Drosophila melanogaster: one gene and its partner. The protein of the gene in region 1 interacts with the protein of each later gene in a pairwise test. Each region holds a gene or a part of one and is shown on either strand. Other genes may lie near its edges.

What was found. The genes of interacting proteins can lie anywhere in the genome.
Region 2: the proteins of Noc3 (region 1) and CG5359 interact in a two-hybrid assay, tested with the Drosophila melanogaster proteins (one large-scale study listed by BioGRID).

The regions. Positions count from the first base shown.
Region 1 is NT_033777.3:7,242,842-7,250,357, forward strand, and holds Noc3 (nucleolar complex protein 3), read right to left. Parts: upstream 4,129-7,516; 5' UTR 4,043-4,128; coding exon 4,034-4,042; intron 3,982-4,033; coding exon 2,369-3,981; intron 2,311-2,368; coding exon 1,687-2,310; intron 1,631-1,686; coding exon 1,408-1,630; 3' UTR 1,391-1,407; downstream 1-1,390. Other genes in the region: CG14607 (uncharacterized protein), read left to right, coding at 1-1,000; CG10053 (uncharacterized protein), read left to right, coding at 4,409-4,455, 4,525-5,278; CG1227 (uncharacterized protein), read right to left, coding at 5,444-5,560, 5,616-5,750, 5,809-6,403, 6,464-6,579; Dtwd2 (DTW domain containing 2), read left to right, coding at 7,037-7,116, 7,179-7,516.
Region 2 is NT_033777.3:9,998,103-10,004,378, forward strand, and holds CG5359 (uncharacterized protein), read right to left. Parts: upstream 3,175-6,276; 5' UTR 3,100-3,174; coding exon 2,838-3,099; intron 2,780-2,837; coding exon 2,520-2,779; 3' UTR 2,471-2,519; exon of another isoform or gene 2,404-2,470; intron 2,267-2,403; 3' UTR 2,213-2,266; coding exon of another isoform or gene 2,076-2,212; 3' UTR 1,924-2,075; coding exon of another isoform or gene 1,796-1,923; 3' UTR 1,742-1,795; coding exon of another isoform or gene 1,734-1,741; 3' UTR 1,669-1,733; downstream 1-1,668. Other genes in the region: Spn85F (serpin 85F), read left to right, coding at 430-1,659, 1,734-1,741, 1,796-1,923, 2,076-2,212; Mical (molecule interacting with CasL), read right to left, coding at 4,333-4,338, 4,396-4,592, 4,651-4,751, 4,808-4,885, 4,945-5,149, 5,272-5,548.

The DNA.
Region 1 (7,516 bases):
CGCTCCGGCTCCTACTGCATATGGAGCAGGCTTGTTTCCCTCACCCGCTGTTGGATTTACGCCAAGTGGACAGGCTACCACTGCTTTTGGAGCACCCGCCATTGTAGGAGCCACAAACCCCGTTAACCCACCGAGAAGAACTTCATCTGGCGGATTATCTACCCCATCATCTCGCAGTGGACCCTATGGACCGCAGGCTTCGCAGTATGGAGGTACTCCCGGTGGATCTCCAATCCGAGTTGCTAGTGGAACGGGAGACAGCGGGGACTACAACGATTCCGATGGAGACTACTCGGCCATTCCGGGTGTTCCTGGAGTGGATTATCCTATTTATGCCCAGGTGCCGCGCACCAACTTTGACTGTGCGCAACAGCCCCTACCCGGCTATTATGCGGACATAGAGGCCCAATGCCAGGTGTTCCATATCTGTGCCCTCAACCGGACCTACTCCTTCCTGTGTCCCAATGGCACAGTCTTCAGCCAGGAGACATTAGTCTGTGTGTGGTGGAACCAGTACGACTGCGTTTCGGCGCCCAGCTTATATGCGAACAATGCCTATATCTATGATTACTCCGAGAGAAGTGGCTCCAATCTGAGAACATCGAATACCAACAACGTCTACCGTCCGGCCGCTTCTTCCTCGGCTGCCTTCGGGGCACCTCTGGCCACGACTGGAACACTTCGAGCCACCGGAGTGTCTCAGGTTGCTGGATATAACTCCGGCCGGGGGTCCTATCCTTCAGCCACGCCCACCCCAACCGCTCAGCCCCAAAGCCCGTATGGCGCTGGGGCTGTCCTTCGTCCCGCCATTGTCCCGAGCACTGGAGCCAATCGATTACCGCCATCGGGAGCTGCTGTCGGGCTTCTGGCCACTGCCGCCGGAGCTCTTCCCGAGAGTTCAGTGGCTGGATTCGGGCAACAGCAGTCGGGCGGGAATAGAGAGTATCTGCCACCAGCTAGCGTTGGACAACAGCGACAACGAGGAGGCACCAATGCATAGGTAGCGAATGAAAAATTCTGGCGAACCCCTGGGACTTGTACCCGGTTATATGACACTACTCTTAGTGACTCTAGACTTAGCCTCTATATAGAATGTTAGGAGCTCCAAACATAATAACTTGTAAAAATCCCATTAATTGAAATATATTACAGAGAAGTTCTAAGCAAATGAATGGTTTCATGTTTTAAAACCAACTCGCACCTTTCTGATTTAACAACAAATTTGTTCGATTATTATCTGGCTAATCAAATCCTGGTATCACACTTGGTATTCTCTTCCTTTAACTGAGAACGTATTTGGAAGAATGTTTAATATTGGGAAACAAGTTGGGTATTGTTTAAAAATTGCATTTCTTTCCACACTATTCCGCAGTCATTATAACTCTACTTCAATCTTCAAATTTTTCTTTATTGAAGTGCACTGAAAAAATCAATTTGTAAGGTTTGTTTATCCTTCGTCTGTGAAACTTTTCCTTGCTGCAGCAGTTTTCCGTACTCCTGTTTGAAGTCCGAGCGAATATATAAGTGTTTGCCCCTTTTTAGTTTTGGTTGACCCGCTTTTGGCAGCGGTATTGTCGGATTGAAAGCCATCTGAGTGCTGTCGAATTGCGTAAACAGCTCGTGGGAGGTACTAAGGAAAGTAATAATTGTTAGAGTCACATATGTAGTTGCCGTCTTATTACATACAGTTTGCCAATTTCCGTGGGCAAAGCTCCCTCGCCCGTTGCTGGCACTCCATGAGCAATGTGAACGGCCATCCGTCGCACCGTGGGATGATAGTGACGTGCCAGAAGCGCAAGCTCATACAGCGCTGTGCTTGCTGCGTTACAGTACTCAGGATCGTCCAGTTCGGGATCGTAACGACCAGAGCCTATCGTAGTGTCTGTATCCAATAGGTTGTCAAGCACAGAAGTGAGCTGGAAGGTTTGTTTTATTGTGCCAAGCGTGGCCAGGGTGCCATTATGGAGCAGATGCAGACTTCCAGTAAGCAAGCGTTTCATGAAGGCCATTAGACGCTGCTGGCTCATATTGCGACGACGCTTTACGAGCACCTCATCCAAAGTTCGCAAAATAATGGCGAAGTCATCGTGATTTTTGCCTGCCTGCACCGCCAGCATATTTCGGTAAAAGTGCTGGTAGAATCGGATGGGGTCGATGTTTAGCACCTCACCCTGGCCGGAAAGGATAACGAATATGGTCTGAACACAGTGCAATCGCTCCCGGTAGCCCAGCTCGTCTTGGTCCTCTAGAATGCGGTTGAGCACATCGATTAGATCGGAGAAGAAGTCCAAATTAATGACGTGCGCAAACCTAAAAATCATCCTCTATATTTAAAATTCCAGGAAAGAGATTTACAATAACCACTCACTCTGCCAATCCTTCTAGAATAGCGCTCAGCACGCGGGAGGTGGGATCGTTCTTAAGCACGCGGAAGTAAATGGTAAACACCATCTTTATGATCTCGGTGAGCTTCTGATGCTTTGCTTGCTTGTTTTCCTCGGCACGGGTTTCCTCTAGTTCTCTGTTAACCTCGGTGAGCTTCTTACGTCTTTTGCGCTCTTTCTTGGACAAGCTTAGTAAGCGTTGACGATGCGACTCAAGCTTCTTTTGCTTTAGCTCATTCTCCTTTTCGGCATCTAGGTTTACGTTCTTGATTTTAAGGCCCATCAGACAGGTGATGCACTCCACATGAACATTGTTCTGCTTCGTTTTGATCAAGTGATTGATGCGTCGCACTATAAAAAGAGTCATTTCTAACCGTTTGTCGTTGGAAAAGACTGTGCGGAAGCACTGATGGACCGCCGTTCGCATCTCTGCATAATTGCAATTCAGCATATACACCAGAAGCTGGGCAATGTTTTGAACGTAGTTAAAGTATGGATGTGCCACAAGCAAGTCACACATGCACTGTACTGCCACGGTGGCCAACTTCACAGTCTGAGGCGTCCTTAGACCACCTCTCCTGTTAACTTGCGCTGTGATCTGTTCCAGTTTCTGCAGGAACTTTTTAAACTGTTGAAGCAAGGCGTTTTCAAAGGTTACACGATCAAGAGTGGCCTTGCGAAGCGTCTGCATCTTGGTGTCGACCTGACCCACTCGATACTCGGGCAAGATATCTTTGAATATCTCGGTGACAGAGATTATGGCCAGCTTTCTGACGGCCATTAGGTTGGCCTGTCGACTGGCTGGGTTGATTTCGTCCATGAGTTCGTACAGAGCATGAAAGTTGCGCATCTTATCCTCTGGCTTTTCGAGCAGCCCGGAACAAATGATTCCAATGCGATACTTCTGGCGTTCGATCTCCTGCTGCCGGGCAATAAGTAGATCCGTGGTAGAGATAAGTTTTTGGACGGGAGCGGCGGTGGCGGCCTCGACATCATTGACCACATCGTCATCGCTGTCCTCATACTCCGTATCACCGTCTTCCTCGGAATCATCCTCCTCTTCTTCTTCATTCTTCTTTTTCTGCTTGGGCTTAGGTATGTAATCCACCTCTGTCGTACGGGTGATAATCTGACCATCCCTGGACTTGATTGGCAGCAAATCCAACTTTATTTTTTGCGCGTCCTGCTCTTTTTTCGTGTCAGAGGCATAGGCCCTTTCCAAGCCGATGGATTGTCCTTGGTCAGGATCATTCTCGCCGGTCGTCTTGGCCTTTCGCTTGCGTTTGTTAGCCTGGAGCAGGGCAAGATCATCGCCATCCAGCATGTCCGCAACGTTTTCAAGCATCTCATCGTCGCCATCCTCGTTGTCTTCCTCGAGCGGATCCAAGCCCAGGGAGGCCAATTTGTTGTGCTTTTTACGCTGTGCTAAGTTGTCCCGCTTTCTCGCCTTTTGGGAGAATATATTCTGACCCTGTTCGCGCTTCGATTTCAGTTGGTCGCGCTTTTGCTTCTGTTTTTGTTGCTGCTGCTTAGAAAGCGGTGTTTTTTTCGACTTCAGGTGAGCAGCCCGCTTGACCGAGCTGATTTTGACCTTTTTCTACAATGATTTGGATTAGAATAAGCATTAAATAATTTTACTTTCCACTTACAGTTCCCATTGCACCCGTTTTAGTCAACTAATAGTTAATTTTCACAAATGTTGCCTTCTGAATGGGACGAGCACATGGAACGCCAACGGAACTGTCCACTCGTCAGCGGAGCGCAACAGCTGCTCAGAAGCGGATAGTATTTTGTTTAGTATCTTACATGCGCTTACTTAAAATACTTTGTTTTTGAAGAAATAAGTAAATGACACAAACTGGCTGTTTTTTTTATCACTAAACAGAACCAATACTATAAAATACAATTTTCGGAACTCAATCTTCATAGCAGAGATATCATTGTTATTATAAATTATCGAAATAATGCTGTAGATAACTATGCAATGGTCACACTTAAGTGAGAAGTGTAAACAAAACAAACAGATGTCTGACGAGGAGGAGGATTATATGTCCGACAAATTCCTGGTTGGGTGAGATTACACTCACACCTAACTAACAACCAACCACCTTATGAAAAACTCTCATCCTTCCCTCATTAGTCTGCAAGATGTCCGACCGAGTTTGGTGCACAATCGCGGCAGAAAGCGGCAGATTGAAGTCGAGTCCAAGAAAGATGAGCTGAAGAAGCGCCAACGGGAGACAGCAGCTTCTTCCGGGAACGTAGACAATGTTCGCCTTCAACAGTCCCTCAACAAACCAATTTCCGCCGACAACAAAGGATTCCAGCTACTGGCCAAGATGGGCTACAAAGCCGGTTCTGGGTTGGGCATAACTTCGGATGCTCGTACTGAACCCGTGGGGATAACTATAAAGAGCGGTCGTGGAGGACTTGGGCGCGAGGCAGCCGTTGCAGAGTTGGCCCTCAAGCGGCAGAAGTTGCGGAGGGCACATCTCCTAAACAAGGCCGGCATTAAAAGCGACGAGGAAGTCAGTACAGAGGCTTATAGGAGGCGCGCGACCCATAAAGCGGAGGAGCGAAAATTACAGTATGACATAAAACGGTGCCAGCAGACCTGCGAATCGTTGGATCTTAAGTCCGCTATCACAGAACCAGATCTCGATTTCTTTTGGCCACCTAAACCAAAAGATGAAGATGAATCACAGAGCGACGCCGACGATCCTGAAGTCGAGGTGCCACCTAAGCAAGAACCATACAGTCCCTCGGAGCAATTAGAACTCCTCACTGGCTACCTGCGCACAGCCTATTGCTTCTGCTATTGGTGTGGGACCCATTACGATGACGCCGAAGATCTGGGCTCCAACTGTCCAGGACTCACTCGTGACGAACACTAGCTCCAATCAATAAAATAAAATAAAAAAACTAGCTTGATTGCTTACACATAATTTCATAAAATCAGCAGGTTTAAAATATTTTACAATAAGTAGTCAAAAAACAGTAAGCGGTGTATCTGGTTTGGAGGAATGTCTATAAATGAGTTGTAATCCAGTTAGTGGGAGCTACAAGCGACCCTCCAGTTTCTGTATCAGATCGTGGGTCCTTTCGATAACACTAAACACGAATGGCCGTTCCATTGGATCTGTTCGCAGCATGTACTTAATTAATTCGTGCATGTCCTAGACAAATATTTGGAATTAGTTTCCTTTACAATATAAAAAAAAGGTTTATTACCTCTGTGTAAATTGAATCCTCTGGAATGTTTATGTTCCCACTGAGCACAGCCAAAGCCACGCTGTCACCTCGCTCGTAGATGGGATCGTAGGGTGAATTAAAGTAGCACATTGCATAGAGCACACAGCCAAGACTCTGAAAGAGGGAAATGTTAAGGAAGAACTTCAATAACGCTCTCTTGGATCTGCTTTACCCATATGTCAGTGCGCTCGTCAATTGTGCAATATGTTTTCACGGTAAATAACTCTGGAGCCCGGTAGACAATGGAGCTCCTCTCCTCGGCTTCGTCCTGCAAGCGCTGAGCATCCGTCTGGCCCACAATCTGCAGTCGGGCTTCTGTCATTGACCCGAGATCCACAATAATTGGCTCAAAAGAGTCCGACAGGCAGATGTTGGCCGTTTTTAGATCTCGGTGGGCCAGAGGCACCGGCATTGCCTCGTGGATGGCCTTCAATCCCTCGCAGACGCCCAGAAAGATTTGCAGGATCTGGGCCTCGGGCATGTGGTCCTGTTTCCGCGATCGCAGCTGAAGGTGGTCCGCAAGAGATCCGTGCTTGTAATAGGGAAGCACAATGAACAAGGTGCTCGTTGTGTTTATAACTATGTCCGCCTGGCCCTTCAGCTCGTAATCCACTACCCGGATCACGTTTTCCGAGTCAATTTTTCGACAGTTTTCGATTTCTCGCAGAGCTATATTCTGATCATCGATGCTGTGGCAGGTGATGCGCTTTATCGCATAGCTACGTCGCGTGGAGGCGTTTTCCCCAAGGTCGATTAGACTGAAGCCCCTGTTTAAACACTCAGATTAGATATATCAGAGGAGATAGTGGGAAAAATGTGGTACAAACCCCGTCGCCAGCCTTTCGCGGATTGTGTATCGAGATCCGTTTATGTTCAGGGTCTCCTTGCGGCAACTAAAGAGGCAGCCGCGTTTCATGATCAGCGTCCATCCTATACTCTGCATTTTTCTTAAATTATGCTATGTACTTCACAACTTTAAGCTTAACAACTAGTTCAATTCACATACAAAATCTAAATAGAAAACACAAAGCTGAAGTGGAATGTTTATACTGGAACGAATTTATGAAGTTCGGTGATTTTTAACCATATTTGTAAGATTCTATATTAACTTTAACTTTAAAAACTAGGCACTTTCGTATTATTTTTACGATTTTAGTTTCTTGACGTATTAATAAATTAATATTTATTTTGATTCCTTGGTGTATAGATTAAAGGAATTCAAGATTCTGTCATCGCATAATCGCAATTTCACTGCACTCCAAACAGCTGATTCGAAGACAGGGCGGTCATATTTGCCATGTGGCTGTGTGCGTTGCCACCTAGTTGCGAATTGTTGCTTACGGATTTCTTATCGTGCGGAATATAAACTTAGCATTTTTCTAATTTAATCAATTATAAGTATGGAGGATGACGCGTGGCTGGACCTCGTGGGCATCAGCGCCGATCCGCCCAACAGACGCAACAAGTGCGAGAAATGCAAGTGAGTGGTGAAGCTGGGAATCTGCCATAAAAATTAAAGTATTTTCATGAACTCTATTATAGACGACCCGTGGTTGTTTGCTGGTGCCCGGCTTTACCGCATCCACCTGAGGCGGTGTCCTCACAGATTGTTATACTGCAACACCCTGCAGAGGAGAAGAGATCGCTACGCACTGCACTGATGCTGCAGTTGGGTTTGGAACCGGGAAAATGTGTCGTCTACAAAGGCAAGCGGTTTCCAAACCATAGAAACCATGCTGATCTGCAGAGGATTTTGGACTCTCCACAAACACTGCTTCTGTATCCCAGTCGGGACTCGGTCCCACTGGAAGAGGTGGACCACAGTGCGGGTCCTTATACACTGGTGCTCATCGATGGTACCTGGCCTCAGGCTAAAGCCA
Region 2 (6,276 bases), 2.8 Mb from region 1:
TGAGGTGGTTAGAATGGGGAGCACCAAGTGGTCATTGATAAAGAACAAAATGAAAAACCAGATATGCGTACTGACAAACAAATTGCCCCAGGCCCATGACCAAAGCTCAATCGATCTCCAATCTGGTTTCAATAGTTCGTCGACCCCATTGGATCGGTTAATCTCCCAAAAAACTAACCAGCATTTGTTCAAGTGAATAGATTTTTTAATTGTCCATCGTTGCGTACCTATTGCTGATCAGAATTTGGGTAATGAAATTGATCAGTAGGCTCGTTGGAGGGCTAACTTAATTTTAGAAATTTTTTTAATTAGCAGAGTCTAAATAACATATATATTTTACAACTTGGGACTCTATAAAGGACATACTCAGCATATATGCTAAATAATGATTGATAATCTAATGTTATAGATTTTTATTCTATTTTCCAGACTTACTTTTTTGGCTCCGACAATCCACTGAAAGGACTCAGCTTGAACAAGGGCAATGTCACTGTTCTCAAGGACTTTGAGACGGTTCTTATGTTTTACGGATATGACTTAAGTGTAGATATGCTCTCCTCCACACCAGCCAATCTCACATCAGATGCCGAGTTGGTCAACACCACAATGGCCAGCAATACGACGACCATGGAAATGGATGCGGAAACCACAACGTCAAAGGATGCGGAGAGCACAACAGAAGAGCCGGCCACAACAACCACAGAGCCGCCGGCGACGACAACGGCAGAGCCACCAACCACCACCACAGAGACTCCAGCGGAAACGGAGGCCACCACAGAAGCACCTGCTGCAACATCGGGTGAAGAGGAGGCCGCTGAGCCCGCTGGTGAGGATGAAGCAGCCGAGTTAGTGTCCGCTTTTGTAGCCGAGGAGGACTCCGAGCCTCTCTTGCGCATCCAGAAGGCTCGAGTCTCCAGATTGCCCACCAGCAAACTACAGGCGCCGCTAAAGCATTCGAATCCAATCACTCCCAAGCCCATTTACCTGCCCAGTGCGCGAACAGTGGCCATGCCAATGCCAATGATGGCTCGCCAGGTGGCGGAGCGAAAGCCACCAGGAACACGGCAAGTAATTTCTATTATAGCGCCATCCGTGCAACCAGCAAACATATCGGTGACTCGCAAGACGAAGACAGCACGATACAAGCGTCATGCGATACCAGCATACAAGGATCTGGATGCAAATCTCTTTCTGACCCTCTTCAATCCGCACACGCATGTCCCGCACCACCCGCTGCACTTTCCGCCGCCAGTGCCCGCTGCCTTTGCACCCATCACGAATGATTTTGAGCCACACTATATCGGAGAGGCGGCCGAGGGAAAGTCCAACTATAACACGGATGTGATCAGCCACGTATTCTACTTGGGCAATCAACAGGTGGTGCACACCACCTTCAAGGTATATAACGCAGTGCTGTACTACAAGTACTTTGAGCACCTGAAGATGAGCGTGCTGGAGTTGGAATTGGACACACCGGAGTACAACCTAATGATCCTGTTGCCCGACTACCACACGGATATTGTTGCAGCCGCCGCCTCCTTGAAACTGGGACCAACCCTTCGACTGATGCGGAAGCAGTTGAAGCCACGCTGGGTGCAAGCCATCATTCCAGATTTCAAGCTGCACGGCACCATGTTTTTGACAAACGACTTGCAGAATGTATGTATTCATTTGTAGAGTGCATTTTTGTGTTTTTATTGAGGTGTCTTTGGTTTTTGTGCTCTCTGTTGCAGATGGGAATGTAAGCATGGGTGTAATAGCTCCAGTTCCTGGCTTCATTTTACTTTCGTTGCAGCTGCGACGTATTCGAACCAAATCGCGCCGATTTCAGGCCCATGACTGAGGAGAAGGGCGTCTACGTGCGACACATTGAGCAATCCATAGACGTCACCATCCGTACGCATCCCATCAATCAGCTGAAGCGTAAGTGTCTCGCATTGCAGCACACCTGAATGGAATGGAGTGGAGGCATTGAGCCGCAACGCATTGCGAATGCCCAACCTAATGGTGTTGCAACAGTTGCAGCCTCTGCAACACGAGACAAAGTGCAATAAACACTTCCTTTTACTCTCTAGGCAACTACGGCGCCCAATCGAAGCCCATTCAGATCTCTGTGAATCATCCGTTTCTGTTTTTCATCGTCGATCGCGACTTGGACGTGGCTGTGATGTCGGGCCGCATACTGAATCCGCTGAACGTACGCATCCAATGAAGCACGACGAAGGTCGACTATCGAAAGTGATGAACCCTTTGTTCCCGGTGCCTACTAATACGAGATGTTAGCATTGCTTAGATTAAAATGTAAATATACGGGGGTGTCACGAGACTCTGGGCAGATGAAATTTGAATGGAAGTAAAGAAACTTCATACTTAAAATTATCATTAAATTAAACAACATTTGTTGAATATTTTATCTATATAATATTTTTAGAAAACACATCTCGTGACAACCCATTTAATGTAAGCTCACCCCATTAAAGTATAATCCTTAGTCTAACTAGTTCTGTGGGAAATCGGTTTTAGTACTGATACGTTCCAAACACTGTACAGACGCAAAAGAGACTGGTGTTGCTGAAGACCTCGGAGACGGAAGTGTCGCAGTCGCAATCCCAGCAGCAGCGCGAGTTGTAAGTGGCCCCCGCACCCAGCTCCTGGCCTAGCATCACCTGGACCACGTGCTTGTACCGCTTCACCAGGGAGCTGCTGGCTATCTGCTGGTTCACCTCGTCGGCGATCTCACTGGTCCACTTCTTGGCGACGTCCTTGTCATAGGTTTTGTCTTCAAATAGTGAAGTTGCTAGGCAACGCGCAGTATATTTATGGATTTTCACACTAACCTTTGAGTTTCTCGGCCATAACGTTGTTCATTATGCTCTTGATGGTGGGCAGGGGAAACATCTCCCCAAAGGCCGGTCGCATGCTATAGGCGGTGGGCTGGTCGCCGGGCTTTTCCGACTTTTCTTGATTTTCCAAACCATCGGCTGAGCCGGAGTGCAGACTTCCTGACGCCGACTTTTCCGACTTCCTATCCGCTGGGTTGGGCACTGTTAAAGTCTGGACGGATTTGGTTGTTTCCTCAGTGGACTGTTTGTCAGCCATCTTTTGTCAAATTCAGCGTAATTCCCTTTCAAAGTGTTTAAGAAAGCACCAAGAAAATCTTGGTTGCTATGTTTGTTTACTTATTGCTAGTGTTACCAGATGGTAAAATGGCTTTCCCGCCAATCCCTAATTGTCAGTCACCACGAATAACCGAACTTATTTGGTGTGGCCACTTTATAACAACGAAGTGTGGCACCTCTTTCATTTTCTGGATAATTTAAATTTATAATACGCGCCAATATTTTATGTGCGTCAAGTTAGCGTCGATGGCGGAATTTCCCCATTAAAGAACATTTCTTTAAGGACATTTAAGGAAAACTTCACGATAAAGTAGAACTATAAAATCGTCCTTAGGTTTCATAAAATCTTTATTCAATTCAAAATAAATCGAAAAGTTACATAATAAATTCGATAAATATGTTTTTATATATGCAGGTTATAAATAAAGTTACGCAATAATTTAAATGATTTCGTTAGTATACAGTTAATGGTTGCTTTCTCGCTTACATCGCTATGTGTAGGCTCTCGCATTTAGAAAATATTTGTGTGCATCTCTTTGTGTTCACTTTGATTTCGATTGGGGGCAAATGACATAATACATACATGGGTGTGCTGATCGGGAGGATGTGCGGAAGGTGCTTTGTCAAATAAATAATAATACACTCAAACGGTTTACATAGAAATCGACAAACAATCGCTAAGTGAAAATAACCTAAGAAAACTCAAATACACCATTTACATTTGCTCAAAATCACATACCCTTTGCACACGCTCACTACATTACATTAAATAAAAACACAACATATTGCATAGGACATACAAAAATCAGACAGATTTCAGTGGCAACGACTAACAAAACGTACAATTAGGTCGAATACGAAACTAAAGGTATTCGCAAAAACATTCGTAATCCCTACTTTTAAATTGCGAAATTAGTTTTTTGGTTTTGATTTCATCTCTGCCTGTTTTTACATTAACCTTGCGCGCTTCTCCCATATTAGTTAGGCTCTCTACTTATATAAATATTGAAATTGTTCTTAGCCAGCTTATCCACTTTGAATAGTTAGTTGCTCGTTTCGGTTACAGCTCACGGGTTTTAGTATTGTTAATTCTGTATATTCAGCTGCCTTTTTGGTACGCTCTCCCCTGTTCCCTTGTTTCATCTTAAGTATTTAGGCTCAACAGTCCATGCACCACTTCGCAGACCAGCAATCTCCAGGGAAAGTTGGCTATTCAAATCTGAAACAAGTGGTGTTGTCAATTTCAAATTTAAACATATAGGTCCTATTTACTCACGATCGATTCTTCGTGGTCATGCGGTTGTCCCGTCAGCTTAATGCCCGTTGCCTCGGCGGACGTGGATGCTGATCCCGCTGCCGTGAGGTCGAGCTGGGAGGCTGTGGGTCGTAGGGCGGCTCGCTTGGCGACAATTTCCAGCATCTCGTTGAGAATTGCTCCCTCGGCGGCCACATCGGCAGAGCTTTTGTCCAGTTCTGCAATGATGGAATTAAATATTATATCAAAGTTTTGAGAGGAAACTATAACACTCACTGTTGCAGGACAAGCGCAGATTGAGCTCTTCCTTCAGCTGGGCATGCCGATACTCCAGTTGCAGTTCCTGTTGCCTTATAGTCAGTTCCTCATCGCGTTTCCTAAAAACAAAATTACATTAGATTTGTTTATTATAGAGCTTCATTGATTAGCATACTTGAGTGCTGTGATGTTGCGCCAAATCTCCAAAAGTTCCTTAAGTAGCTTCTCGTCGTTGTCCTTTGTCGCATCCAGGCTGTAGAAGAGATTTCATTTAATGGGTATTCAAGGATATAGCCAGATCCTAGCACTCACTTTTCAATATTCTGCGCCTCGCCTCGCAAGGCCTTCTCAATAAGCACGCCGCGTGCCTCCAGATCCTTCAGTTGCACCTCGATCTCCTCCTGTTCCCGCTGAATCTCTTGAGCGATTCGCAATCGCTTGAGCTCAGCTTGTCGTGAAGCCTTCGATATGGCACGTTGCTTCTTATGCTCTCGTGTCTCGTTAGCGTAGCTCTCATCTGGGAAATAGGAAAGGGGATCAAATCAGGCCGTAACGTTTCCGCTTGTATGAATATTCAGTGGGTCGGGACAGGAAAAATGGGTGGACGGTATATGCAGACATAGAATGAGAAGAACAAACCATCGGATCTCTGATAATTCAGTGGAAGAGGCGGTATGGGTGGTGGTGTCTGGTCGTCCAGGGCACTGGGATGAGCTGCGGCCAGGTGGTGGGGCTTGTGTATATAGAGCTGCGGACTGGATGAAGAGAACGATTCGGGTTTCGGTTTCGCAGTGTTCGTTTGCTTTCGATAGCGACTGTTGTTCGTGGTGTTCAGATACTCTTGCGAGTGATTTTTCTGTGATGCGGATGTGGCTCCTGCTGGAGATGCTGCATTGCAGACCAGCATATCCTTGTCCTAGTATAGCATGGCGTTAGGAGGTATCAGAATATATATCGGTTTAAATGATTGAGTGTTTTTCAGAGGAGGAAAAAAAGAGGTCGAGAAAAACGTATGGAAAAATAAACAATATTCAAAATCTTATTAGAAACAGCTTGTTATTTACTAAAATATAGTACATGTAACGTGCAAAATGTCCAAAGGCAAAAAACTTAACACATAACTTTTATTGATTACCATAACCGGGAATCCAGGGAAACCAATCATGCAAAATATCCATTATGCTTAAATCATAAATAACACTTCTTAAACTAATTCCCATTAAACAAAAAGCTGCCAAGTACTTAAGCCATAAACACTTAAAGTTTAAAACACACAACTGAATATCCTTATGTCCGTAAGGTTTCCCTGAAACCCATGCGCTCCTAATAGATATTAAACTAAGAAAACATATATGTTATTTTTGAGGCAAAAGAAATAATTCAGCAGTCAATCTTAAATGTTAAGACTTAGATTACTTTTGCTGCAAAGGGTAAAAGAAAACAAAAAATAAAGTAAATGAAAAGAAATCATAAGAAAATTGTGGCAACTTTATTGTGTTAATAGGACAGCAAACAGACAAAAAGCCCACTCAGATGAAGAAATGTGCGATTAGATAAAAAATAAACCAAATGTAACGGATGCCAAATAATAAGACTAAGCTGTTGAGAGTGTAAGAAATTTGGAAAACTCGAAAGTGTGTGGTA